Linked DNA regions of Macaca mulatta. The protein of the gene in region 2 binds, or shares a complex with, the protein of the main gene of each other region. Links are inferred from orthologs where the notes say so. Each region holds a gene or a part of one and is shown on either strand. Other genes may lie near its edges.

What was found.
Region 1: the proteins of DNM1L (region 2) and MIEF2 are in contact, whole or in part, in a cryo-EM structure (PDB 5WP9), measured with the Homo sapiens proteins. The link is inferred for Macaca mulatta from reciprocal best matches to the Homo sapiens genes DNM1L and MIEF2. Residues at the interface, in NP_036192.2 of Homo sapiens: Asp190, Met191, Ala192, Thr193, Ser194, Leu197, Lys198, Ile199, Arg201, Glu202, Gly223, Thr224, Asp225, Asp228, Arg233, Val234; in NP_631901.2 of Homo sapiens: Val213, Asp214, Thr215, Val216, Arg218, Arg226, Leu230, Arg235, Val245, Gly246, Tyr248.

What each region holds. Positions count from the first base shown.
Region 1 is NC_133421.1:19,839,454-19,852,382, reverse strand, and holds MIEF2 (mitochondrial dynamics protein MID49), read right to left. Parts: upstream 6,749-12,929; 5' UTR 6,620-6,748; intron 5,855-6,619; 5' UTR 5,648-5,854; coding exon 5,634-5,647; intron 4,634-5,633; coding exon 4,480-4,633; intron 4,267-4,479; coding exon 4,104-4,266; intron 3,635-4,103; coding exon 2,580-3,634; 3' UTR 1,556-2,579; downstream 1-1,555. Other genes in the region: FLII (protein flightless-1 homolog), read left to right, coding at 8,351-8,413, 10,016-10,126, 10,441-10,512, 11,767-11,847, 12,177-12,262, 12,350-12,511, 12,849-12,929. UniProt on the Homo sapiens protein: Mitochondrial outer membrane protein involved in the regulation of mitochondrial organization.
Region 2 is NC_133416.1:34,914,428-34,926,714, reverse strand, and holds part of DNM1L (dynamin-1-like protein), read right to left. Parts: intron 9,208-12,287; coding exon 9,087-9,207; intron 7,388-9,086; coding exon 7,256-7,387; intron 5,653-7,255; coding exon 5,446-5,652; intron 2,193-5,445; exon of another isoform or gene 1,734-2,192; coding exon of another isoform or gene 1,474-1,733; intron 1-1,473. Other genes in the region: nucleosome assembly protein 1-like 1, read left to right, coding at 1,474-1,733. UniProt on the Homo sapiens protein: Functions in mitochondrial and peroxisomal division.

The DNA.
Region 1 (12,929 bases), on a different chromosome or scaffold from region 2:
CCTGGCTAACGTGGTGAAACCCCGTCTCTACTAAAAATACAAAAAACTAGCTGGGCGAGGTGGCGGGCGCCTGTAGTCCCAGCTACTCGGGAGGCTGAGGCAGGAGAATGGCGTAAACCCGGGAGGCGGAGCTTGCAGTGAGCTGAGATCCGGCCACTGCACTCCAGCCTGGGCGACAGAGCGAGACTCCGTCTCAAAAAAAAAAAAAAAATATATATATATATATATAAATAAATAAATAAATAAATAAAACACAAGTTTCTAAAAACTGATGGGCATGGCTGAAGGGCCATCAACAGCCCACTGATTACAGAAAGTATGGTGTGGGGCTCGGTTCAGCCTTGCAGGAAGAAACATCCCAAACTGGTTGGTTCCCAGTACTAAAGCAACACAAAGCTTTTCATCTGTTCCTTCCATGTACCGTACTTGTCACAGAAAGTTTGTGTCCCCTTAAACTTGTATGTTGAGATCCTAACCCCCAAGGCACTGCTAACAGCAGATGCAGCCTTTGGGAAGTGATTCGATCATGAGTGTGGGCCCCCACCCCATGGGTGGGCTTAGTTTCCTTTAGAGACCCTAGGAGAGCATTTCCCCGCTTCCTCCACGAGGACAGCTAGATGGGGACACCTATGAACCAGTATGTGGGCCCTCACCAAACATGGGATCTGTTTGTGACTCATTCTTGGACTTCTAGCCTCCAAAATGGTCAGACATAAATTTCTGATGTTTATAAGCCACCTAGTCTATGGCATTTTGTTATCACAGCCCAAACAGACTGAGATGATTTTTTTTTATTTTTTATTTTTGAGACAGAGTTTCATTCTTGTTGCCTAGGCTGGAGTGCAATGGCGCAATCTTAGCTCACCACAACCTCTGCCTCCCGGGTTCAAGCAATTCTTCTGCCTCAGCCTCCCAAGTAGCTGGGATTACATGCATGCACCACCACGCCCAGCTAATATTTTTTGAATTTTTAGTAGAAACGGAGTTTCTCCACGTTAGTCAGGCTGGTCTTGAATTCCCAACCTCAGGTGATCCACTTACCTCAGCCTCCGAAAGTGCTGGGATTACAGGCGTGAGCCACGGCACCTGGCCAAAATGCTTTTTAATTAATTAATTAATTTATTTATTTATTGAGACAGAGTCTTGCTCTGTCGCCAGTCTGGAGTGCAGTGGTGTGATCTCGGCTCATTGCAACCTCCACCTCCCGGATTTAAGCGATTCTCCTGCCTTGGCCTCCCAAGTAGCTGGGACTACAGGCACCCACCACCACACCCAGCTAATTTTTATCTTTTTAGTAGAGATGGGGTTTCACCATGTTGGCCAGGATGGTCTTGATCTCTTGACCCCAGGATCCACCCGCCTCGGCCTCCCAATGTGCTGGGATTATGGGTTTGAGCCAGCGCGCCCGGCCAAGATGTTACTTTTTAAAGTAAACTCTACCACCTCCAATTGACCTCAAGCACCCTTGCCTAAGTGCCAGGACAAGCCACAGGACTTACAGAAAACCCCCAACAGCTACGTGTGAAAGCGCCAAGACCCCCTTATCCAGCCTGAGTTACACGTTAGAATTTTCTTTTATTCTTGTTCACCTCTTCGAAGCAGAGCTTCATTTCAGCAGGAAGGATACCAGAGGCAGGAGGAGGATCACTTGGGAAGGGAGGTGGAATCTCCCTCCTCTAGCCCCCCTGCTACCTCTAACGGGCTTCAAAGTCAGAATACAGCCATCGGCTGAGAGCAGTTCATTTTGGCACACTGGGAGGCCGGCTCTGCACACCGGACCCCTCTGGTGGGGGATCAGGCCCTCTGCTCTCCAGTGGGGCCTGGAAGAGCTCCAGTGATATGCCCCAGCTGTGGGCTGGGGGCGCAGCACAGAGCCTCAGCTCCCCCAGGGCCCTCAGCTGCTTGAAGAAAACACTCACCTGGCTGGAGGGAAAAAGGGCCTTGCCCTGAGGTATCAGGTGGGTAGCAAGTCACACTGAGCTCCTGCTCCAGGGCTCGAGAACACAACAAGAAAACTAAACGCACAGAAGACAGCAGGAAAACGCCATCCTTTAACAGCCAAAAAGCTGTCATTCAGGGACACCAGGTGACTCCAGCGCCCGGGGGACAGAACAAACACACCATACCTACCACCAGGCACCAGAGGCCTCAAAACGCCTGGAGCTGGGGCCGGAGAAGGCGGTAAGTCGCCTTCTCTCAGCAGAAATGTGAAGTTGGCCTTTAGCTTCTGCCCAGGATGGCAGAAACCACATTCTGTCGGTGGATTGGTTGCTGGTGATGGACAGAGCCAAGGTCCTGGGGTTGGCCCCAAGGGCTGAAAAGGTGCTTGCAGAAATGGCTGGCACTCCAAGCTGCCTGAGCCAGCCCAGCCGTACTCAGGTGACAGTGACCCAAGCTCTCTGGGCTCAGGGTTTACGGCCACCATAGCCCAAGCACATCCCGATGCCCTGGGTTTAAGTAATGTACCCTCTTTTGTTCTGGCTAAAAGCTAGAGAAAAACCACTATTCAAATCCCCGGAAGGGAGGTGGGCGCAGCTTCCCAGCATTAGAAAACACGCCAGCCACCCGTTCCCACCCACCTACAGCAGCCCCTCAGGCTCCTGTAGGCCACTGTACAGCGCATAGCCAATGTCGTCAATCTCCTCCTCACGCAAGCTGCTGAAGAGGTTCACGCTGGGGTTGAAGTGGCAGGGCAGGCTGGCCTGCTCCAGGCTGCCGATGAGCAGTTCCAGGGCTTGCAGGAAGCGCTCACCCAAGGCCTCCTCCGTCCAGTCCACATTGTCCTCCCCCAGACGTAGGACCACCTGGGTCAGGTGACCCCGGCCCAGCTGCCCCAGGGCCGAGCAGCCACGGCAGACAGCACACAGCAGCAGCAGCAGCCGACGGCGGGTCCCAGCGTCATGGTCGTCCAGGGCTCGCAGCCTTGCAGCCTCCACTGGATATAGGTCCTGCAGCCAGAGGTTCCCCGCCAGCCCCTCCAGGGGCCAGGCCAAGAGGAGGTGGTCGTCAGCATCGGCCCCAGGGACTGCCACAAGCACAGCCACGGTGAGCTCCAGGCGCTCGTGCTGCACCTCGAGCAGCAGCTCCTCTGAGGCCATGCTGGGCCAGATCAGGCACCCAAGAAGGCTGCCAATGGCCGGCCAGTTGACAGAGGCAGCCAGCGCCTTTCGGAGTAGCTCCAGCAGGATGCGGGAAGAGAGGTAGCCCCCGACCAGGAAGCGGTCCCAGGGGCTGCTCCCGCGGGGGCAGAACTCAAGCTGAGTCCTGCGCACGGCCCAGCAGCGAGGGTCCCTCGCCACAGTGTCCACGCCCGGCACCAGGCTCCATAGGCCCGGCTCCAGCACCAGTGGCACCAGGAGACGCACATGGTCCGCGGCCCCTGCCTGCAGCCCATCATACAGTGGCCCCCCAGGCACAAATGCCCCAAAGGGCAGTTCCGGGAACTTGCTCCGAAAGTAGGCCTGCAGCTCCAGGGCAATGTCGCCAGCCAGCTGTTTGGCCAAAGCCACCTGGGCTGCTGGGATGGTCACATGGTCCCGCTCGAAGGCCAGCAGCCTCTCCTGCAGTGTCAGACACAGCGGTGCTGGGGAGCTGAGCTGTGGTGTCACCTCAGGACCAGTTTCTGCAGGCCCCTCTGCAGAGTGAAGGGGCGGGGAACATGTCGGAACAGCCTGTGATTAGTTAAGAAAACACCACCGACAGCTAGCTGTGTGACGTCCCAGGGCCTCACTTTCCTCACCTGCAATAGCACCTGAGAAGGCACTCAGTTCAGGTCCTCACATATAGTGAGCGCTTGGTGACGAGTTCTCATTGTCCCAGAGTCCAACACCCTGGCCCTATGGCTAAAACAGCTTCATGCAGAGTAGGTAGGTAAGTCACGCCCCTGTGGGCCTCAGTTTCCCCATCTAAAGCTCCCCACTATCACAACGCTGCCACTTTGCTCCAGGAGCAGGACAAAGAAACCCCACCCCCATTAAATGTCTGAGGAGCCCGCAACCCAGAGAGAAGCAGGGACTCGCACAGGGCCGCACAGTCAGTCAGGGCAAAGCCTGGGCTGCGTCTCTCGAATGTGACACCAACAGAGGGGAAGGAGTGCCACTCACCTGGGGCAGAGGGTGAGGGGGCCAAGGGCAACACTGGCTGGCTGAGGGCAGCAGGTGGAGGCCGGGGCTGCAGGTGTGGTGTGGCCTTGAGCAGGCTCAGTTCCTTCCAGCTGTCTCCCTTGGTGTCATCCTCGTCCCGTGGGCTAGTGGCCCTGTCAATGAACTACAGGCAGAGTCACAGAGATCAGTGTATATGAAGTCTGGGCAGCCATAGCAAAGCCCAGGGGCAAAGGAGACCAGGGTGCAGGGTGGAGAAGCAGGTGCAGTCTTGCAAGGCCTTGGGCAGTCCCCACCCCTCCCCAGGGCCCCTCTGAAAAGCCCAACCCTGTTGTCCTCCTGCAGGAGCCTCAGGCATGACCCACCCACCTGGCCTTACCCGCTTCACGGCCAGGGTGGCAATGCCCAGCACAGCAGCCCCGCCCACGCCCAGCACCAGGCGGGCATTGGCCAGGAGGAAGTCCACCATGCTGCCCAGCCCCTCGTCGCCACGCCGCTTCCCCCGTTTCTGGGAGAACTCTGCCATGGTCTGCCTGTAAGAGAGCCAGGGGTGAAGGGGCAGCTCAGGTGCAGGTGGCCAGGCTGAGAGAGGGGCTCTGTGGGCAGGTGCTCTGGCTGTCCTTATGCTGGGTAAGAGAGCTCAGCCCATGAGGGGGGTTTTCTGAGAATTTCTCAAGAGAAAGGGGCCACCCATCCACAGGGGAGGACACCAAGGTCCTGGGAAACCATGTAAAGTACCTAAGAAAGGGCAGGGATGAGATATGAACTTGGGTTTTGGGGCCCCAATCCCCCATCTCTCACGAGGAGATGAGGGAGCTGCCAAGCCCCTTCCCCCAAAGCTGCAAACAACCTACTCCCTGGAAAGAAGCTCGCAAAGGCCCTGAGGCTTGTGCAGGTAGAGGAAGGGGCCGCTCTCCCTGGAGCCCACCCTCCAGGACCTCTGACATCACCAGGGTGTCATCATCTCCATCCCTATGTTACAGAGCCACAGGCTGCCAGCTCACAAGTGAGTGGTGAGGTCTCCAACCCACGACTGCAAGGCCTCCAGACTCTCATCACTCACAGAGTCTGACGGATTCTCCCTGTGCCAGGTGGCCAGGTCCTCAGCAGCAGCCTTATCTGAAAGTCCCTAACCAGAGGGCACGGCAGCCCTCTATGATAACCTCTTCAGAAGAGCCCAAAGTCCAGAGAAGACGAACAATTTGGGGCCCCAGCCAGTCTGGGGGACCACTGGAACCAGTTACCCTCCAAATCTTGACAGGGTAGCCCCAAGAGGCAGAGCTACCGAGTCAGAGCACAGGCAGAGTGACACGGCCCGAGCTGCCCGGGCAGGCCAATGCAGATGTGCTTCTCAGGGTTGAAGCCCCTTTGGCAGGGCAGAAAGGGCTGCCCAGTGCCTCTGTACAGAGGGCTCTCTGGGCCTCTCAGTCTTGGGACAATGTGTAGGTAGTGGTGGGTGATGCTTCTCAGCTGCAGGGAGGCCAAGCAACAGAGAAAGGAAGGTGAGGGCCTGGGCCCAGCCCGTTTGCTCACCTGTAAGATGGCATACGCAGCAGTGGGAGGCAGATGTGGGCAGGCTTGAAGTGTGTGACTGGGTGGGGCCCAGCACTTGGGAAGTGGAGGCAAAGATCTAGGACCCAGTCCACATTCCTCACGTTCTGCGAGGGTGACACTGCCCTCAGGCCCTGGGAGATGAGCTGGGCTGTGACCTTCGGACATCAGTTAGACACTAGGCAGAACTCTCCCAGGGAGGCCTGAGCAGATGACCATGAGATCACAGCCTGCCCGGGCACCAAGGACTTCCACCTGCCCTGCCAGAGTGTCGTGCCAGGGGCCCAGTTGCCAGGTGACCAGATGCCTGGAGTAGCTAAAGCCCGAAGCGCTGTGTGACTCAGCCCCGTACACCCGCCTATTCGCCCCAGACTAAAAATAAGACGGTCTGTGGGGAGATCCCAGGCCAACCGGGTGACCCGCCACGGCCCCAAGGCCGGTTTCAGTCTCCTCATCCGTGACTCGGGAATCAATACTGCCACCCACCCCCAGAGAGACCAGGAATCTACTTTGCAAACTGTAAAGCGCTTTAAATACTCCCAACCTGTCTAAATTGGGACTCAGCCCCACCACTGGCGGGGTCGCTCAGGCCTCAGCCCACAGCCTTCCAGCTCCGGGAAGCGGGAGAGGGCACGGGTAGCTGAAAATAACCCGAGTTTGCCCAACGAGGCCCTGGAGGCCGTCTGGCCTTCCCTCCTCTGCCAAACGCGCCTGCCGTGGGCCCGGGCGGTGCAGCCCGCAGCAGCAGCCCTAGGTGGGCGGGTGACGCCCCGTTCGCAAGGAAACTAAGAGACCGAGAGGGGAAGGGGGCTGGGCTGGGATTCGAACGCGGCCCTTGGTCCCCCAAAGGTCCCCTCCCCGCCTTCCCCAGCCGTGACCGCGGGCCACGCCTCCGATCAGCGTTCAGTCGCGCGCCAAGCCCTGAGCCCGGCGACCCTGGGGGCCGCCCCGCCGCGCTCCAGCTGTACCTGCGTCGCAGCTTCCGCACAACAACCGGAGGAGGCCGCGGGACCACGGTCCCTGAGCTCGAACCAGCCTGAGACTGGAACGTGAAGGACCCTGGAACCCGACGTCGAGGGCCCCCGGGGGCGGCCGCGGACTTCGCAGCACGCAGACAAGCAGGCCCTAAGTCCAATCGGAGCGCTCGAGTTCGGAGCACAGGTGCCAAAATACTGCGCAGTTCAGCCAATGAAGGGCAGGCCCCGCCCCCCAGCCGACAGACGCGCTCCCTTCGGGGCGGGACTCCCTGACGCAGTCCGAATTTAAAGGTGCAGGGCTGCATTCCGAGCCTGCGACCAGGTGATGTGACAGGCAGCCCTCCGGGAAGTCTGTGCGTTGTAATGTGAGCCTCCGGTGTGGAAAAAGCTGTCTGGGCCCCCGTTCCTTCCAGGAGCCAGGTAGAGAGGCTGCACATGGCTAGAGGCCCGGCACATCCAACCTGTTAGATCACCTCTGCGAGAGAGTGTCTTGGTGGCCTCGTTCTTAACTGTGGGCCTGCGAGGCACAGTGTGGCGAAAGTGCCGACCCCTGCCACCTGCTCCGTGCGAGCTTATGTGGGCCATTCTCCACCTGGGCCTGTTTTTCTCCTGTAAAATGGGGACACTAGACCCCCTCCTCCCCTACGAAGCATGGCTGGGCATATAACAGCTGTGGCTCATTTATCGGGGTCCTGCTATGTGTCAGCCAGGGCGAGCCCCCTGTGAACAGCAGGGACCAAGACAGATGCTTCTCTTCTGGACCCTCCCTTTGTAGGGGGGCACGAGCACAGGGGTGCTGACACTAAGTGGGAATAATAAACCTGGCACACAAAACAAAACGGAATAATAACCTGCCACTCACTGAGCGCCTGCTGTATGCTGCAGGCTACACGTGCATTCTTTGTTCATTTACTTATGGTGACAATCTTAGGAAGCATTTTACAAATGAGGAAACTGGGTAGGGCGCGGTGGCTCACGCCTGTCATCCCAGCACTCTGAGAAGCTGAGACCGGAGGATCACTTGAGGCCAGGACATCAAGACCAGCCTGGGCAACATAGCAAGACCTTCGTGTCTACAAAAAAACAAAAATAAATTTAGCCAGGTGTGGTGGTCTGCGCCTATAGTCCCAGCTAATCGGGAGGCTGAGCCCAGGAGTTCCAGGCTGCAGTGAGCTATGATCACACCACTGCACTCCAGCCTGGGCGGCAGAGCAAGAAGACCCTGTCTCAACAAAATAAAAACAACACATGAGGAAACGAAGTCCAGAAGCTGGAGAGCTAGGACCCGAGGAGCCAGGTGTCTCACTACCACCGGTCAGCCAAGTACAGGCACTTCCTGGGCCCCTGCGACCCGGGGCCTGGGTTTAGAATCTCTCCGAGGTCAGGGCCAGCTTCATGTGCTGCAGCAGTACAGGGGACGGTGCCTGGCCCAGCGGCCGTTACGGCCCCTACCCTGAGACGCTGGGACTTAAGCCTGGAGATGGTGGAAGCCTCCAGCTCCTGCACAGGAGACGCCCAGCACTCCTTGATGCCACCGCAGTCTTTGAACAGACGGGGAAACTGAGGCCCTAAGAGGCCTAAAGCCTACCCTTCCCGGCGGAAAGCGACCGGCGCGGGCGGGTTAAAGGGGCGGGGCCGGCGCTGGCCCAGCCCGTGGCTCCCCGCACCGCCCCCGCCCCGGCGTTCCTTAGCCCTGCCCGGCCCGGCAGCGAGAGGGGCGCCATGGAGGCCACCGGGGTGCTGCCGTTCGTGCGTGGCGTGGACCTCAGCGGCAACGACTTCAAGGTGAGCTGGACCGGGCGCGTGCTGGGCCTCCCTGCAGGCCTTCTCTTCCGCCCGGCCCGCTTGGCCTCCGCTTCCTGTCCCGCCCGGCTCCAGGCCCTGCGCGTCCCCGGGACTGCGGCCGGGGCGGGGGTGGGGCTCTCCCCTGGCCAGGAATGGACCTCCGAGGCCTCCGCCCGGTGCCTGTACGGGGAGACCGAGGCCGGGCAGGCCCAGGACGGACGCTTGGGCTCGGAGTCCCGCCGGGGACCCGGCCGGGAGCCCCCACCCCGTGTCCGTGTTATCCGTCTGGGCTGGATGGTGGCCTGGGGGTCGGGCGAGCCTCCCCGCCCCCGAGAGGTCACACGCCCAAGCCAGGCCCTGACTCAGGGATGGCGGCCTGGCCGCCCAGGGGCGGGTGCGGAGCCGACTCATCACTGCCCTCTCCCCGCCACCGCCACCCGCCATCCTGTGTGATCCTGGGCCTCTCAGATCACTTCCCCTCTCAGAGCCCGGGCTTTCTCAGCCGGTGAAAGGGCTTAAAAGTCGCCTCCTTGGATGCAAGGGGTGTAGTGAGATTTGTTGGTGTGGAGAGTGTGTCAGGCGGGTGTGCCAGGTGCTGGGTCTGAGCAGCTGCTGTACTGAGAGAGAAAATGACGGAGCCCAGCCCTCTGTAGCCAGTGGGTGGGGCGGGAGGTGGTTCCAGGACTCAGGAATGAGACAGGCATCGCCGTACCATAGGGGAAGCAGAAAAAGAGAGGAGGGAAGAGCTGGCTGGAGGGTCAGCCTCACTTTCAGGGTGGGTGACTGGCAGGGTCTGCCTGGGTTGTCAGTCTGGGGCCGAGAATGAAAACGCAGGTTTTTCCTGCGTTTACCTGCATGTGTACACACCTTTGACCCAAAGTACAAGTGTCCACACCACTTTTCCCTGACCCCATCCCCACCACCCTAACCTGGGGTCTCTGTTCCTCTTTGCTGAACTGGGAGAGTCTGAGTCACCAGCTGGGAATGTGGCCCCAGGGGGAGAGGAATACCAGCCGCGGGCACTGAAGGCACGTGCTGCCCCAGACTTGGTGCCACAAGGGCTGGGTGCCAAGGTGGGCGTTCACACACTGGGGGAGTGCAGTGATACGGCCCTGCCCTGCAGGGTGGGGAGCCACGGTCTCCACAAGCAAGAGTTTGGCCCTGGCTGTGTGAATCGCCTGTGTGCTGATGGCAGGGTGAGGGTACAGGTGGGGCCTTTGCAAAGGCTTGGAGGGGGGAATCCCCCACCCCAGGCCTCCAGTCAGAGCGTGGAATGCTGGGTGAAGGAATTTGAGCAGAGCTAACCACAGTGCCGGGTGCTGGGCTCTCACCTGAAACAAGCCAGTTTTGTCCTGGCCCTCCTGGGGCCCAGAATCCAGTAGGATAGACAAATCTTAGGCCAACACTTTTGTCACAGGGGGGCTTTTATTAGTCCCATTCTATGGGTGAAGAAATTGAGGTGCAATGATGAAATGACTTGTCTGTGTTCTCACGGCTGGTGAGAATTGGTTCTGTGGCTCCCCAAAGGCTCCCATGGGCTGGAGGAGCCATAGAAGGTGGTGAGCAGGGGCTCTGTGCTTCACCTTCACATCCTTCCCCCAGGGCGGCTACTTCCCTGAGAATGTCAAGGCCATGACCAGCCTGCGATGGCTGAAGCTGAACCGCACTGGCCTCTGCTACCTGCCCGAGGAACTGGCTGCCCTGCAGAAGCTGGTAAGGGGCTTTGGGCAGGCAGGGGAGGGTCCCTGTGGATAAGCCAGATGGGCAGAGCCTGTGGAGAAGGCAAACAACTTCTCCAGAGAGAGGAAGAACACTGACAGCTATGAGCACAGCTGGAAGAAAGGGAGTGGGCACCCTGTCCAGGGAGGTATGCAAGAAGAGGCTGGGTCCGTGAGGGAGGGAGGCTGCAGGGGGAATTGGGCCAGCGTGGCTGAGGCCTTCCTGGATGGTGCAGAGGTGTGGAGGCAGGCGGGGACTCTGGACACCCCATCCACCGTACTGAGCCTGTGCTCCCCATTCCGGCCCAGGAACACTTGTCTGTGAGCCACAACAACCTGACCACACTTCACGGGGAACTGTCCAGCCTGCCGTCACTGCGCGTGAGTGCTGGCCGGGAGGCCACCAGGCTTGGGGTTGGGACCAGGGTCTGGCCAGGGACATGAAGCCTGGGCCAGACGCCAGGCTGGGCCAGCATCTCTGCCCGCCTCCGTGTCAGGCTCAGAGGTTCAGGTGTCACAAGAGGGGCCCCCTTGTTAGAGGTTACAGCAGTGCCCTGCGTAAAGTAACCCATGTGGATCAGAGAATTCTCTTGGGAAAAAGATAAATCCAAAATCTTACCAGCCATTATGGACAGTAACTACGGTAATAATAACCAATACAGGCTGAGCCATGTTCCCATTATTCTATTAGGATTTTTTCATATGCTCTAACCCTCCACTAATGTTGCGGAAGAGAAACTTGGCCACCAAGGCAGATTACTTGCCCCAGGTCACAGAGCCAGGCAGTGGTAGAGCTGGGGTTGAGTAGGGTTTGGCCAGGAGCACCGTGTACCTTCTACCCAAGACTTGAACGTCCCAGGGCATCAGGCCCTTGGCCAGACCCTGTAGGCCTCAACAAGGGCCATTCTCATCTGAAGTCAGAGCCCTGGAGATGTTTCGGGCACAGCTTCTCACTTGGACTCTCTGAGTTCAAAGCTGGGCTTTGCCACTTCCTGGCGATGTGACCTTGTGCAAATCCCTTCTGCTTTCTGCATCTCATCTGCAAGTGCAGTGGTTGGGAGGGGCAGCAGTGACCTCAGGAAGCAGCAGCAGGGTGCCACACAGGCATTCGGACTGGAGAAGTGGCGGGGCAGCTCCAGTGACTCCCGTTGTCACTTGCAGTCACAGCACCATTCTCTGGCCCTGTTCCCTCTCACGCTCAAGCTTTCTGCATCTCTGTAAGGTGTAAGGAGGTGTCAGCCTTAAGTTAGGGAGAGAAAGCAGACTTCCTCTCAGTCCAGATGCTGATTTCGAGTTCTCTCCCTCTGTTCTGAAAACCCTGACTCAGACCTTACCCCTATCTTACCTTCTGGCATTAAGAAGAAGAGAAATTATTTGAACAGAAAAGATTCCCTGAGGGCCCTGTGCTGGGCTCCGGGGCACATTTGGGCTGGGCTTTGAGGTGTGACTAGGAGTTCACTGGGAGGCTAGTAAGAGCCCTCCAAGAGAGGAGGCTATTTGATCAAAGGCCAGAGGTAAGAGAGTCCTCAGGCCTGGCCTCTGGTGAGCCTCCTGAGGAGGTGTCCCTCTCTAGACTCTCTGTTCCTTTCTGGGAGTAGAAGCCAAGAATCATAGACTCTTATGGTTTATTCCCAGGCCATCGTGGCCCGAGCCAACTGTCTGAAGAATTCTGGAGTCCCCGATGACATCTTCAAGCTAGATGACCTCTCAGTCCTGGTCAGTGGCTACCGACTCATCTGGCCCCTATGCTAGCCGGACCATTCAATCCCCACTCACTATAAAAGTCCCTGGGGCCATTGTCATCCCATTTTGCAGATGGGAAAACTGAGTCTTGGAGTGGATAGTACCTTGCCTGAGGTCACTTTTGGAGTCAGATCCCTAACCCAGGCACTCTTCCTCCCAAGTCCCTGACTGTTTCTCTTTGGCCCTGAAACCCCCTCATCTACCCCCACACCCAACTCAGTGCCCTGGCCTGATCCCCAAGCTTGGCAGAAGCCTGGCAGGGTGGAGACTCCCCTGACCTGGGTCTTGCCCCTTCTACCCAGGACTTGAGCCACAACCAGCTGACGGAGTGCCCGCGGGAGCTGGAGAACGCCAAGAACATGCTGGTGCTGAACCTCAGCCACAACAGGTGCCAGGCCAGCCAGGGGCAGGGGGCAGGTGGGCCTTGGGGGGGTGGCCGGTGCTGACTCAGGTGGCTCCTGCTCCCCACCCGTAGTATTGACACCATCCCCAACCAGCTCTTCATCAACCTCACCGACCTGCTGTACCTGGACCTCAGCGAGAACCGCCTGGAGAGCCTGCCCCCGCAGATGCGCCGCCTGGTGCACCTGCAGACGCTGGTGCTCAATGGGAACCCTCTGCTGCATGCACAGCTCCGGTGGGCGCCCCCTCGGGCCGCACTCCTGCAGAAGCCACCCTGAGGAGTCTGGCCTGGCCCCTTAACTTCCCAGAGCCCCAGCCCTTCTCCACTGGGCCCAGCCATCCCTCCATGCAGGCAGCACCCCTCAGTCTCCAACCTCCTAAGTATCATGTCCACCTCTCAGTCCTGTCTTCCCGCTTACACGCCCTGCACCACCCTTGGGCTTGTCCCTTCGGCCAGATGAGACTTCACACCTACCCTCAGGGCCCTGTGCTCTTGGTCCTGCCCTGCCAGGCCCCACCCTTGACACCCCCTAGGTGGGCCCTGGCCCTGACCACTCACATCACCCTGGCAGGCAGCTCCCAGCGATGACCGCCCTGCAGACCCTGCACCTGCGGAGCACCCAGCGCACCCAGAGTAACCTCCCCACCAGCCT
Region 2 (12,287 bases):
GGGAAGTTGGGGAAAGGGTACACAGTGGAGGGTGAGTGGGACCTCCCTGTACATCACCCTGCAACTTCCTGTGAGTCTATAATTATTTCAGAATAAAAAGATGTTTTTAGAGAAATGGTTGTTCTTGCTAGTAGTAAAACAGTACAATATGCTAACAATATGCAATATGTAATGAAAGATTCTAAGGATATTATATCCTTTAATCTAATAAACTTACTTCTACAAATTTATCCTCAGTGTTTACTTGGACACAAGCCCCAAAGATAGATGCAGGTAGTCCATCACAGCTTATATGTGTATATAACAGAAAACAAACTATCCAGTAGTAGGAGACTGGCCCAACAAATGAGGGTATATCTAAAAAGTAAAATACTATGCAAATCTTCAGACTGATAATGTATGAGATAGAAAGTTATTTGTTACATGATTTAAGAAATGATTCCAAGATAGGTATAGCATCTGATTTTTAAAGATATGTAGTACAGTCATCTATGTGTTATAGATGCATAGAAAAATGCCTAGTTCAATGCCAAATTTTAGGAATTATCTCGGGTTGGTGAAATTAAGGGTTTGTTTTCGTTTTCAGAGATGGGGTCTCCTTTTTTAGCGCCATCTGCTTGCAGCGCTGCCTCTTGCTCCTCCCACCACCTCCTCTTGCTCCTCCCACCACCGCTGCTGCCCTGAGTCACTGCCTGCACAGCTCCACCCGCCTGGCTCCCCATACTAGCCTCTGATATTTGAGTTCTTACAACATGGCAGACATTGACAACCTGCCTAGCTAGGGTAGTTAAAAGAGGAGTGAATACTCTCAAAAACCTGCATAAGTGCACAGATAGAAGCCAAATTATATGAGGAAGTTCACAATCTTGAAAGAAAGTATGCTGTTCTCTATCAGCCTCTATTTGATAAGCAATTTATGATTATTAATGCAATTTATGAACCTATGAAGAATGTGAATGGAAACCAGATGAAGAAGATGAGATTTCAGAGGAGTTGAAAGAAAAGGCCAAGACTGAAGATGAGAAAAAGGATGAAGAAAAAGAAGACCCCAAAGGAATTCCTGAATTTTGGTTACCTGTTTTTAAGAATGTTGACTTACTCAGTGATATGCTTCAGGAACATGATGAACCTATTCTGAAGCATTTCGATGATACTAAAGTGAAGTTCTCAGATGCTGGCTAGCCGAAGAGTTTTGTCTTAGAATTTCACTTTGAACCCAGTGAATATTTTACAAATGAAGTGCTGACAAAGACATGTAGGATAATGTTAGAACCAGAACCAGATGATTCTGATCCCTTTTCTTTTGATGGACCAGAAATTATGGGTTGTACAGGGGGCCAGATAGATTGGAAAAAAGGAAAGAATGTCACTTTGAAAACCATTAAGAAGCAGAAACACAAGGTACATGGGACAATTCGTACTGTGACCAAAACAGTTTCCAATGACTCTTTAATTTTCTTGCCCCTCCTGAAGTTCCTGAGAGTGGAGATCTGGATGATGCTGCTGAAGCTGTCCTCGCTGCAGACTTCAACATTGGTCGCTTTTTATGTGAGCATGTAATCCCAAGATCAGTGTTACAGTTTACTGGAGGAGTTACGGAAGATGATGATGATGAGTATGGTGAAGAAGGTGAAGAAGCAGATGAGGAAGGGGAAGATGAAGGAGATGAGGGAAATGATCCAGACTATGACCTGAAGAAGGATCAAAACCCAGCAGAATGCAAGCAGCAGTGAAGCAGGATATATGTGGCCTTGAGGATAACCTGCACTGTAATAGCCTAAACACAACTCTTACTTACTGCCTTATGTTTTTGTATTTTCTTGGTAGACTACGTAATTTTTGTTTTAAAGGACAGGAAACTGATATTTTAAAGACCAATTTGTTCTAGCTAGCATTTTCACTAGTTTTTCTGCCAGATATGTTGAATGCACAAATTCTGTCACACATGTTCATTCATTGCTAATAATTTGGTTCTTCTGGAATCTTTTTATGTAGCTCTTGGAGTACAGCTATGAAAATTAACAACTGTTAAAGGAAACACTTTTTTTTTTTTCCCGGAATTTTTTCCTTGAAGAACCAAAGTATATTTTCAGCTGTCTGTTGAATAGGGTTAAGTCTGCTTGGATTAGCTATGCCTTTCATTACTTTGTTACAGAAATGCAGGGACTTATACTAAGACAATTCGTTTAAAAAAAAAATTGGCATGTGCAGTGGCTCACGCCTATATTCCTAGCACTTTGAGAGGCTGAGGCAGGCAGATCACCTGAGGTCAGGAGTTCAAGACCAGTCTAACACGGTGAAACCCCATCTCTACTAAAATACAAAAATTAGCTGGGCATGATGGCAGGTGCCTGTAATCCCAGCTACTCAGGAGGCTGAGACGGGAGAATCGCTTGAACCCAGGAGATGGTGGTTGCAGTGAGCTGAGATCATGCCACTGCACTCCAGCCTAGGTGGCTGAGCAAGACTCGGTCTGAAAGAAAAAAAAAATGGGCAAGACAACTATATGGTTAAGAATTTAAGAATTTCCAGTATGACCACACCCAATAACTGTATTAGATTGTTAATGGATTATTGTGTTATAGGTGAAATAGTTAACTGTAAAGTAACCTGACTCAGTATAGTTACTGGTACAACAGTGAGATGAATAAGACAGGATTTTCAGAAGTTAGCCTGAATTTCACTATACTTTTAAATTTAACCTCCATTAACTAAGCATCTTTTCTTTGTAGTAGGATCTACCTTCTGCTTCCCTGGAAAGGATGAATTTACATCATTTGACAAGACCTATTTTCAAGTTATTTGTTGTTTATTTGCTTGTTTTTGTAGCCTAAAATAAAAATTTCAAATACAATTTTAGTTCTTACAAGATAATGTCTTAATTTTGTACCAATTCAGGTAGAAGCAGAGGCCTAGCTTGAATTAAGGGTTATACTCAGTTTTTACCACATTAGTGAAAAGGGTACCAGCTTTGGAAAGAGATACTATACTAATAAGCAAGTGTAAAAAAAAGAAGAAGAAGAAGAAAATTTTAAGTGATATGATGCTTAAAAAAAAAAAAAAAGTTAAAGTTCATTTTCTTTGGGGTAGAGCTAGAGAGAAGGCCCCAAGCTTCTGTGGTTTCTTCTAATTCTTATTGCTTAAAGTATGAGTATGTCAATTACCCATGCTTCTGTTTGCTATGTATTAAAATGTGTAGTACTGTTTATTTAACTACCTTATGGATGTGTTAAGGCATATTGAGTTAAATCTCATAAAATGTTTCTTGATCTCGTTAAAAGCTCAAAATTTTGGGCCTATTTGTAATGCCAGTGTGACACTCAGCATGTTGTTCACACCACACTTTGATAACTAAACTAGAAAACAGTTCAGTTATCAATTAAATTATCAGTTAGTGATCTTTGTGTGGCATATAAATATATATAAATATATACAAATATATATATAAATATATACAAATATATATATAAATATATACATATATATATAAATATATATATATATATAAATATATATATATATATATATATATATATATATAAAATTTTTTTTTTTGGAGACAGTGTGTCTCTCTGTTGACCAGGCTGGAGTGCAGTGGTGCGATCTCAGCTCACTGCAACCTCCAACTCCCAGGTTCAAGCAATTCTCCTGCCTCAGACTACTGAGTAGCTTGGATTACAGGTATGCACCACCACACCCGGCTAATTTTTGTATTTTTAGTAGAGACGGGGTTTCATCATGTTGGCCAGGATGGTCTCGATCTCTCAACCTCTTAATCCACCTGCCTCAGCCTCCCAAAGTGCTGGGATTACAGCCACCGCGCCCGGCCAGTGTGGCTCCTATTTTTATAGAAGTGGATGGATGCACTATTTCACAAGGTGAAAGAATTTTTTTCTGTATGACTGCGTTGTAGTACTACAGGGAGAGCACTATAGTATTGTAGTCATGAGAGTAAAGTGGAAATAAGACTATTTTTGACAAAAGATGCCATTAAATTTCAGACTGTAGAGCCACATTTACAATACCTCAGGCTAATTACTGTTGATTTTGAGGCAACTTTCTTTTGACGATGGTGAGGGTGGACTATTGGATTGTCATTACAGGAAGGTCTAGATTTCCTGCTTTTAACAAAATTACATTGAATTCATTTTTAGAGGTGATGAAAACTTCCTTTTTGAGAAGTTAGTGTTAAGGTCTTGGAAGTGAACACATTGTTTGTAGTGCTATCCATTCCTCTCCTGAGATTTTAACTTACTACTGGAAATCCTTAACCAATTATAACAGCTTTGTTCTCTTTATTTTCAAAATGATTTCCTTTGCTTTGATTAGACACTGGTTTTTTTTGTTTGTTTGTTTGTTTTTGGTAACCGTAGTTCATCTAAATGCAGCTTTTTCTGAACTTTAAAGACAGAATCACTTTTTTTTTTCTGAGACAGAGTCTTGCTTTGTTGCCCAGGCCAGAGTGCAGTGGCACCATCTCGGATCACTGCAACCTCCACCTCACAGGTTCAAGAGATTCTCCTGCCTCAATCTCCCAAGTAGCTGGGATTACAGCTGCCTGCGACCACGCCCGGCTAGTTTTTGTATTTTTAGTAGAGATGGGGTTTCATCATGTTAGCCACGCTGGTTTCGAACTCCTGACGTCAGGTGATTCGCCCGCCTTAGCCTCCCAAAGTGCTGGGATTACAGGCATGAGCCACTGTGCCTGGCCAGAATCCCATTTTTAACTAACTGAGATAGCAAAATCATCTTTTTCATTCTTTTAGGAAATAGCTGTTGCCAAAGTGAAGGTGTAGATAATACCTAGTCTTGTTACATAATGGGGATGTGGTTTGCCGAAGAATTTTCTTTATAAAATTGAAGTTTCAAGGGATGTCAGTGTTTATGCCATTTTTCCAGTTCCAAAATTATTCCATTCCATTCTAGAAATCTGAAGTATGTAACTTGAAATCCTTAATAAAATTTGGATTTAATTTTAAAAAAAGAGAGAGAGAGAAAGGGAGTCTCAATATGTCGCCCAGGCTGGCCTTGAACTCCTGAACTCAAGGGATTCTCCTACCTCAGCCTCCTGAGCAACTGGGGCTGCGGGTGCACACCACCATGTAATTTTGTTTTTATGTTTTATTTTTACTTATCTGCATTTTCTAATTTTTTATGAGCAATTATAATGTGTGTACTAAAGAAACAAACACTTTAAAAGCTAAATTAAGAAATATTTTTTCTTATTAAAATAGTTTTACAAATACATGAAAATTTTACTTTGCTTTACATCATTTACAAAACATATTTTCACACAACCAGACATCATCCTATTATCTCTACAAAATTATATTTTTGTTTTATAGATAACAAATCTCAGATAATCTGAGCTGAAGTCATCTTCACAAAAGGAAAAGTGACCTAGCACTCTAGGTAACCAAATCTACAGAAACATTTCTTACTTACAGCTCTGAAGTTTCAATATATTTTGCAGTTCCTTCAATCGTGTTACAATATTCTGTGGCAAATTTGGTAATAAGCTGGAGTAAAGTAGCACTTTTATCATCCACGGGTTCACCGTAGCTATTTAGAAGAGACTGATACTGAGCAGCTAGAACATTTATTCTTGTTTTCAACTCTGGTAAGCAATCTCTGATGTGATGCATCAGTAACCTAAAAAAGGTTTTTAGAAAGGAAGGATTTAAAAGTAAAATAAGTCAAATTTTTAAAATGGGGAAAACCTATCAAATAATTTGTCCTGGCAAATGTGATACTGTGAAATATATATTTGGTCTTTGTCTTCATTTCCTGGCAGTCAGCTCCTAAAATCCTTGGACTCTCCAAAAGCATAAGAGTGTTTAGAGTGTCTTTGCATGTTAATGAGATGACTGGTGGCTAGATAGCTTCAGGATGGGAGCTGGTCACCAGAACAGCCTCAGAAGAAGGGAGAGAGGCCAAAGGTTGAGCTGATCACCAGTGGCCAATGGAGTTTCCATAAAAACTCAAAAGGACGCAGTTCACGGAGTCTTCAGAGAGTAGAACACATGAAGGTTCCCAGAGTGTGGTGTGCCCAGAGAGGGCACGGAAGCTCCACATTCCTTCCCACATGCCCAGCCCTGTGCATCTCTTCATCTGGCTATTTACCTATATCCTTTCTAATATGCTTTATAGTAAATGGGTATATGTTAAGTAGTGTTTCCCTGACCTCTGTGAGCCACTCTAACAAATTAATCAAACATGAAACGGGAGTCATGGGTACCCTGACTTATAGTCCATCAGTCAGAAACACAGGCTACAATGTGTGCTTACAACTAGCATCTGACTTGGGGGCAGTCTTGTGGGACTGAACCCTCAAACTGTGGGAGCTGACGCTATCGCCAGGTAAATAGTGTTAGCATTGAATTAAAGGACATTCAGCTACAATCCCCTGGAGAATTCCTTGCTTGATGTATGGGGAAAACTCCCCATGTATCTGCTCTCAGAAGCATTATGTGCCATACTGATTAACTGTGTGTAAATAGGAAAAAAACAATTTGTATTCGTTTTTCCTAAATCATAAAAGGAAAAAAAATGCAAATTATTTTCATATTACTGCAGTTACCACAGAGAAAGCAAGCCACTCAATCAATTCTTCCTATATAATTTTGGTTTCATTGACTTGTCATTTACAATTAGTAACCAGCAAAGTAAAAATCAACCTTATTAAGATCCAAATCTATCAGTCTTTAAGGAATAAAAGTAAGAGAAAATGGCTTCCACTTCAGTCATTTATAAATAATCTAGAAACATCTTCTAGTCCCCCACCATCAATGAGTATTCAGAATCCAACGTATACAACTTAAGTTATTTCTACAGTGAATAGGAATAAAAGACATTCTATTTCTTTGTTTTTCCATCTCCCTTCCCTGGTAAATAAAAGACATTCTAAGTTAAGAATAGATAATGTGAAAATTACAAATTTTAATGCAGTTGCTGAAATGCAAAGTGCAAATGAAGTCATCTCTAGTTGTATCCACAAAACTAAATTAACTGTCAAAATTTTCATAATTAAAACATCTTAAAATCACTTGAACATTCATTCTAGACTACATGATGATGTAATGTCAACCACCCCAATAAAAATAGAGACATCTACTCTTCAGGAACCTACTATATAAGAAACCATAAGTGAAGCTGTTAGGAACAGTATGAAAATGTAAGGAACTGAAAATGAACCCTCTCAGACACCTATTGGTAAAAACAAACACATCTCATTTCCAAAAGGTAAAAAAATTACCTGTTTAGAGTCCTAGCAAGATACTTTGTTCCATTTCTATTGGCCAGAGATGGATATTTCTTTTGAAGAAAAGCATACTCATCACGGATTGAATCAGTTACACTCTTCTTGTTGTTAATATCTAGCTGGCTCCTGAGGTTGAAAAAATTACAAAACTATTCAGCTTAATGGTTGTCCTCTTCCTACCTCAGATGATGACAGCACCAGCCATTATTCTCTAATACCTGACAGGGACTGTTTTATTTAATTCTCACAATAATTTTATGTGACAGGTATTACTACCCCATTGTATAGCAAGGAACTGAGGCTCACAGAGACTAACTTACCCAAGGTCACACACTAACTGGCATAGCCAAGACTTGAACTAAGTGAATTATAAGTAACTAGTGCCTAAATAGAGTAGGCCTCATTATTACCATTAACTATAGACAAAAACAATAAGTAACAGGTATAAACAGGTATAAAAATATAAGAGTATCTTAGTCAATTGTATATTTTATCCATGCCAGGGAACTAATTTCGCCCAAAAATAATTAAGTTAATTTGAAGAACAATCATCTACAAATAATGAACAGTGTTGCTTGCGCCACCTCCTTGCCTGAAAAAAGAGACAGTTGGAATTGAGAGTGGGGATGGGAGAATGACAGGAGGGATGGGATGGAAGGACATTAAAATAGAAGCAGACAACTGGAATGGATCTTATATATCAGGTAGTAAAAACATTTTCATTTTCTAAAGGCTTGAGACCCAAAGACATTAGGTGTCATTTAAACCTACATTGTATCTAGTTTATGGAAGAACTGGGACTAGAACTCAGATTTCATGATAATTTCAGGGTTTCCTAGCATATGAAGGCTTTGGACTAAAAGAGAGATTCATCCGAGTCCAGCTCTTTCACTACCCATGTGACTTTTGGTTAAATGTATAACCTGAGGTTTCTGATTATAAAATAGACATCAACACCTACCTCAGGGGATGCTGTGAGGATTCCAAGAGATACCATTTGCAAATTGCTCAGAGTAGAGTGTCTAAAACATAATTAGACACTCAATAATAGTTTCCTTTTTCCAATTTTTAATACCAACTATTTATAATTAGGATACCTTTAATAAAATTTCTCCAAGTCACATCCTGGCAATTACACAAAATCACTAATGCTAGGGATTAAACCAATCTATTAAAATCCTGCCACCTTAAACTCTTTCTCGACTGTGTATACATTAGGTAATTTTTCCCTTACCCAGCACCTCCTCATACATTGCTTAACATGATAGGCAAGAATTCTTAAAGCCTGGCTATTACAACATTTCTTCCATTTTGTGGTATTGCTTACTTTAGAAACATTTTCCATTAAAAATTTCTACGGGGGCAGGCATAGTGGCTCATGCCTGTAATCCTAGCACCTGGGAAACCAAGGTTGGAGGACTGCTTGAGCCCAAGAAGTCGAGACAAGCCTGGGCAACATGGCAAGACCTTGTCACTACAAAAAAAATTAAAAATTAGCCAGGTGTGGTGGTACACACCTGTAGTCTCAGCTACTTGAAAGGCTGAAGTGGAAGGATCACTTGAGCCCAGAGGTCGAGGCTACAATAAGCCACAATCACGCCACTGCATTCCAGCCTAGGCAACAGAGACGCCCTGTTTCCCAAAAAAAAAAAAAAATTTCTATCTCTTTTCTCCCTTTAGGGCAATTGATTCTTTAGCAATACCAAGATCATAGTAAAAGGGAGAAAAAATACAGGACAGTATCACATTTCAAACAGATTTTAGAAATTCAGACTTGCTCTGAAGTGATTGCTCTACCAATTCTTATCCCATTCTAACTGCTAACCTGTTAACTACTCCAATTATTCCAAGTTTGACTGGAATAACCCTTCCCATCAATACATCCATGGCATCGGTACCCGCATCCATGAGATCAAGTTTAGTGATTACAGCTAGGGTTCTGCGACCTGGTAAATGCAAAAAGAGAAAAGGGCAAAGAAAAGAAAGAAAGAAAGAAAATGATCCATTAAATAAAACTATTAAGCATTAATAAAGGAAAACCCTCATCTATAATCGCACTTAGTATTACCTCTGTCATCATTTTGGTAATGCCTTTCTTACCAGTACTTTTTAAAAAATAATTTTAAACATTGTGTACAATTTTTAAAAACATTTTTGCCAGGTGTGGTGGCTCATGCCTGTAATTCCAGCAGTTTGGGAGGCCAAAGCGGGCGGATCACCTGAGGTCAGGAGTTCGAGACCAGCCTGACTAACATGGTAAAACCCCATCTCTACTAAAAATACAAAAATTAGCCAGGCGTAGTGGTAGACGCCTATAATCCCAGCTGCTCGGGAGGCTGAGGCAGGAGAATTGCTTAAACCTGGGAGGCGAAGGTTGCAGTGAGCTGAGAGCATGCCATTGCACTCCAGCCTGGATGATAGAGCAAGACTCCGTCTCACAAAAATATAGATATAGATATAGATATGGATATAGATATATAGATATATAGATATAGATAGTATATATAAAAAAATAGTTTTTTCACATGCAATTTTTTGTTGACTCTTAGGGCTATTTTGTAAGCATTTAAAAAATCTATATAAAATTTACATCCAGGTGATATGGCCCATGCCTATAATCCCAACACTTTGGAAGGCCAAGGCAGACAGATTGCTTGAGCCCAGGAGTTCAAGACCAGCCTGGGCAAAGTGGTGAAACTCTGTCTCTACAACAAATAGAAAACTTAGCAGGGTATGGTAGTCCTAGCTACAGGTGAGGCTGAGGTGGGAGAACTACCTGAGCCCAAGAAGTCAAGGCTGCAGTGAGCCGTGATTGCACCACTGCACTCCAGCCTGGGCAATGGAATAAGACCTTGTCTCAAAAAACAAAAATTAAAATAAAAATATTGACTCCTTTTTGGTGTACAGTTCTAAGAGTTTTGACAAATGCCAAGAGATATTTCACAACCAACTCAAGACACTGCCGCCCCCCACCAAATTTTCTTATGCTAACCAATCAAACCAATTTTCCATCCCTAGTTTTGCCTTTTCTAGAATGTTATATAAACGAAATCAGATAGTACATAACCTTTTGAGTCTGGCTTCTTTCATTTAGCATAATGCAGTTGAGATTCATCCATGTTCTTGTATATTAATAGTCCGTTCTTTTTTATTGCGGAGTAGCGTCCCATTGTATGGAATGTACTATACTTTAGTTTCACTCCTCATCTGAGAAATATGTGAGATGTTTCCAGTTTTTGGAAATTATGAATAAAGATGCTGTAGACATTTGTATATAGTTTTTATATGAACACTGGTTCTCATTTAACATGGTTAAACACCTAGGAATGGGACTGCTAATTTAACTTTACAAGAAACTGCCAGACTTGTTTCCCAAAATGACTATACCACTCCCACCAGCAATGTATGAGTTCAATTGCTCTGCATAGTGTACAATTTTTAGTCATAAGCATTTTTCTTTTTTTTTTTTTTTTTGTGCAGTGGTACAATCTCGGCTCACTGTAACCTTCGCCTCCTGAGTTCAAATGATTCTCATGTCTCAGCCTCCCCAGTAGCTGGGATTACAGGCATGCACCACCATGCCCGGCTAATTTTTGTATTTTTAATAGAGATGGGTTTTCACCATCTTGGCCAGGTTGCTCTGGAAATTCTGGCCTCAAGCGATCCGCTCACCTCAGCCTCCCAAAGTGCTGGAATTACAAGTGTAAGCCACCACACCAGGCATTTTTCTGTATTGTTCCAAATCAACAAAATCATCCTTTTTAATTATTTCATATTTTACTGTTAAAATTTACTTAATCCTTCCAACTGTTGGTCGTATTAAGTTGTTTCAAAATTTTAATACTATAAATAATACTAGGCCAATTATTTCCTTATGATGTATTACTAGATTAAGATTAGTAATCAAGCCAGGTGCAGTGGCTCACTCCTGTAATCCTAACACTTTGGGAGACTGAGGCGGGCAGATCGCTTGAGCCCAGGAGTGCGAGGCTGCAGTGAGGCATGATTGTGCCACTGCACTCCAGACCTGGGCAACAGAGTAAGACCTTACATCCAATACAAAAAAAAGATTAGATTAAAAATATTACAATATTTATGGCTCGAGGGTCAGTTTAAAATAGAGTTAATACATATAAAATGCTTAACAGGTTTTTTTTGTTTGTTTTTTTACGAAGGTCTGGCTCTGAGCCCAGGCAAGAGTGCAATGGCATGATCTTGGCTCAGTGCAACGTCTGCCTTCCAGGCTCAAGCCATCCTCCCACCTCAGCATCCCAAGTAGCTAGGACCACAGGCCAGTGCCACCATACCCAGCTAAATTTTTTTTTGTATTTTTTATAGAGATGGGGTCTCATTTTGCTGCCCAAGCTGGTGTCAAACTCCTGAGCTCAAGTGATCCACCAGCCTTGCCTCCCAAAGTGCTGGTATTACGGGCATGAGCCACTGAGCCCAGCCTACTTTAAATAATAAAAATAAATGTAAATAAACTCTTTGATAAAGTTTATCTTTTACTTTAACTGAAGTGAACATTATTTACTCAAATGGTAAAAAAAATTTTCTTAAACACTTGAAATATAAAATTTTGGGGCCAGGCGCAGTGGCTCACACCTGTAATCCCAGCACTTTGGGAGAACGAGGCGGGCAGATCACAAGGTCAGGAGATCGAGACCATCCTGGCTAACATGGTGAAACCCTGTCTCTACTAAAAATACAAAAAATTAGCCGGGCGTGGTGGCAGGCACCTGTAGTCCCAGCTACTCGGGAGGCTGAGGTAGGAGAATGGCGTGAACCCGGGAGGCAGAGCTTGCAGAGAGCCAAGATCACGCCACTGCACTCCAGCCTGGGTGATAGAGCAAGACTCTGTATCAAAAAAAAAAAAAAAGTGTTAAAGTGACCCTGCTTATGGGATTTTTTATTGGCAGTCTTAGCACTATTTCATATCAAATTTTTATTTGAAATTATTCTTCAAAGCAGGGTAAGAAAAACACGACACAACCTTCAGACCCTCTAAATAGTAAGGTGAAAAAAA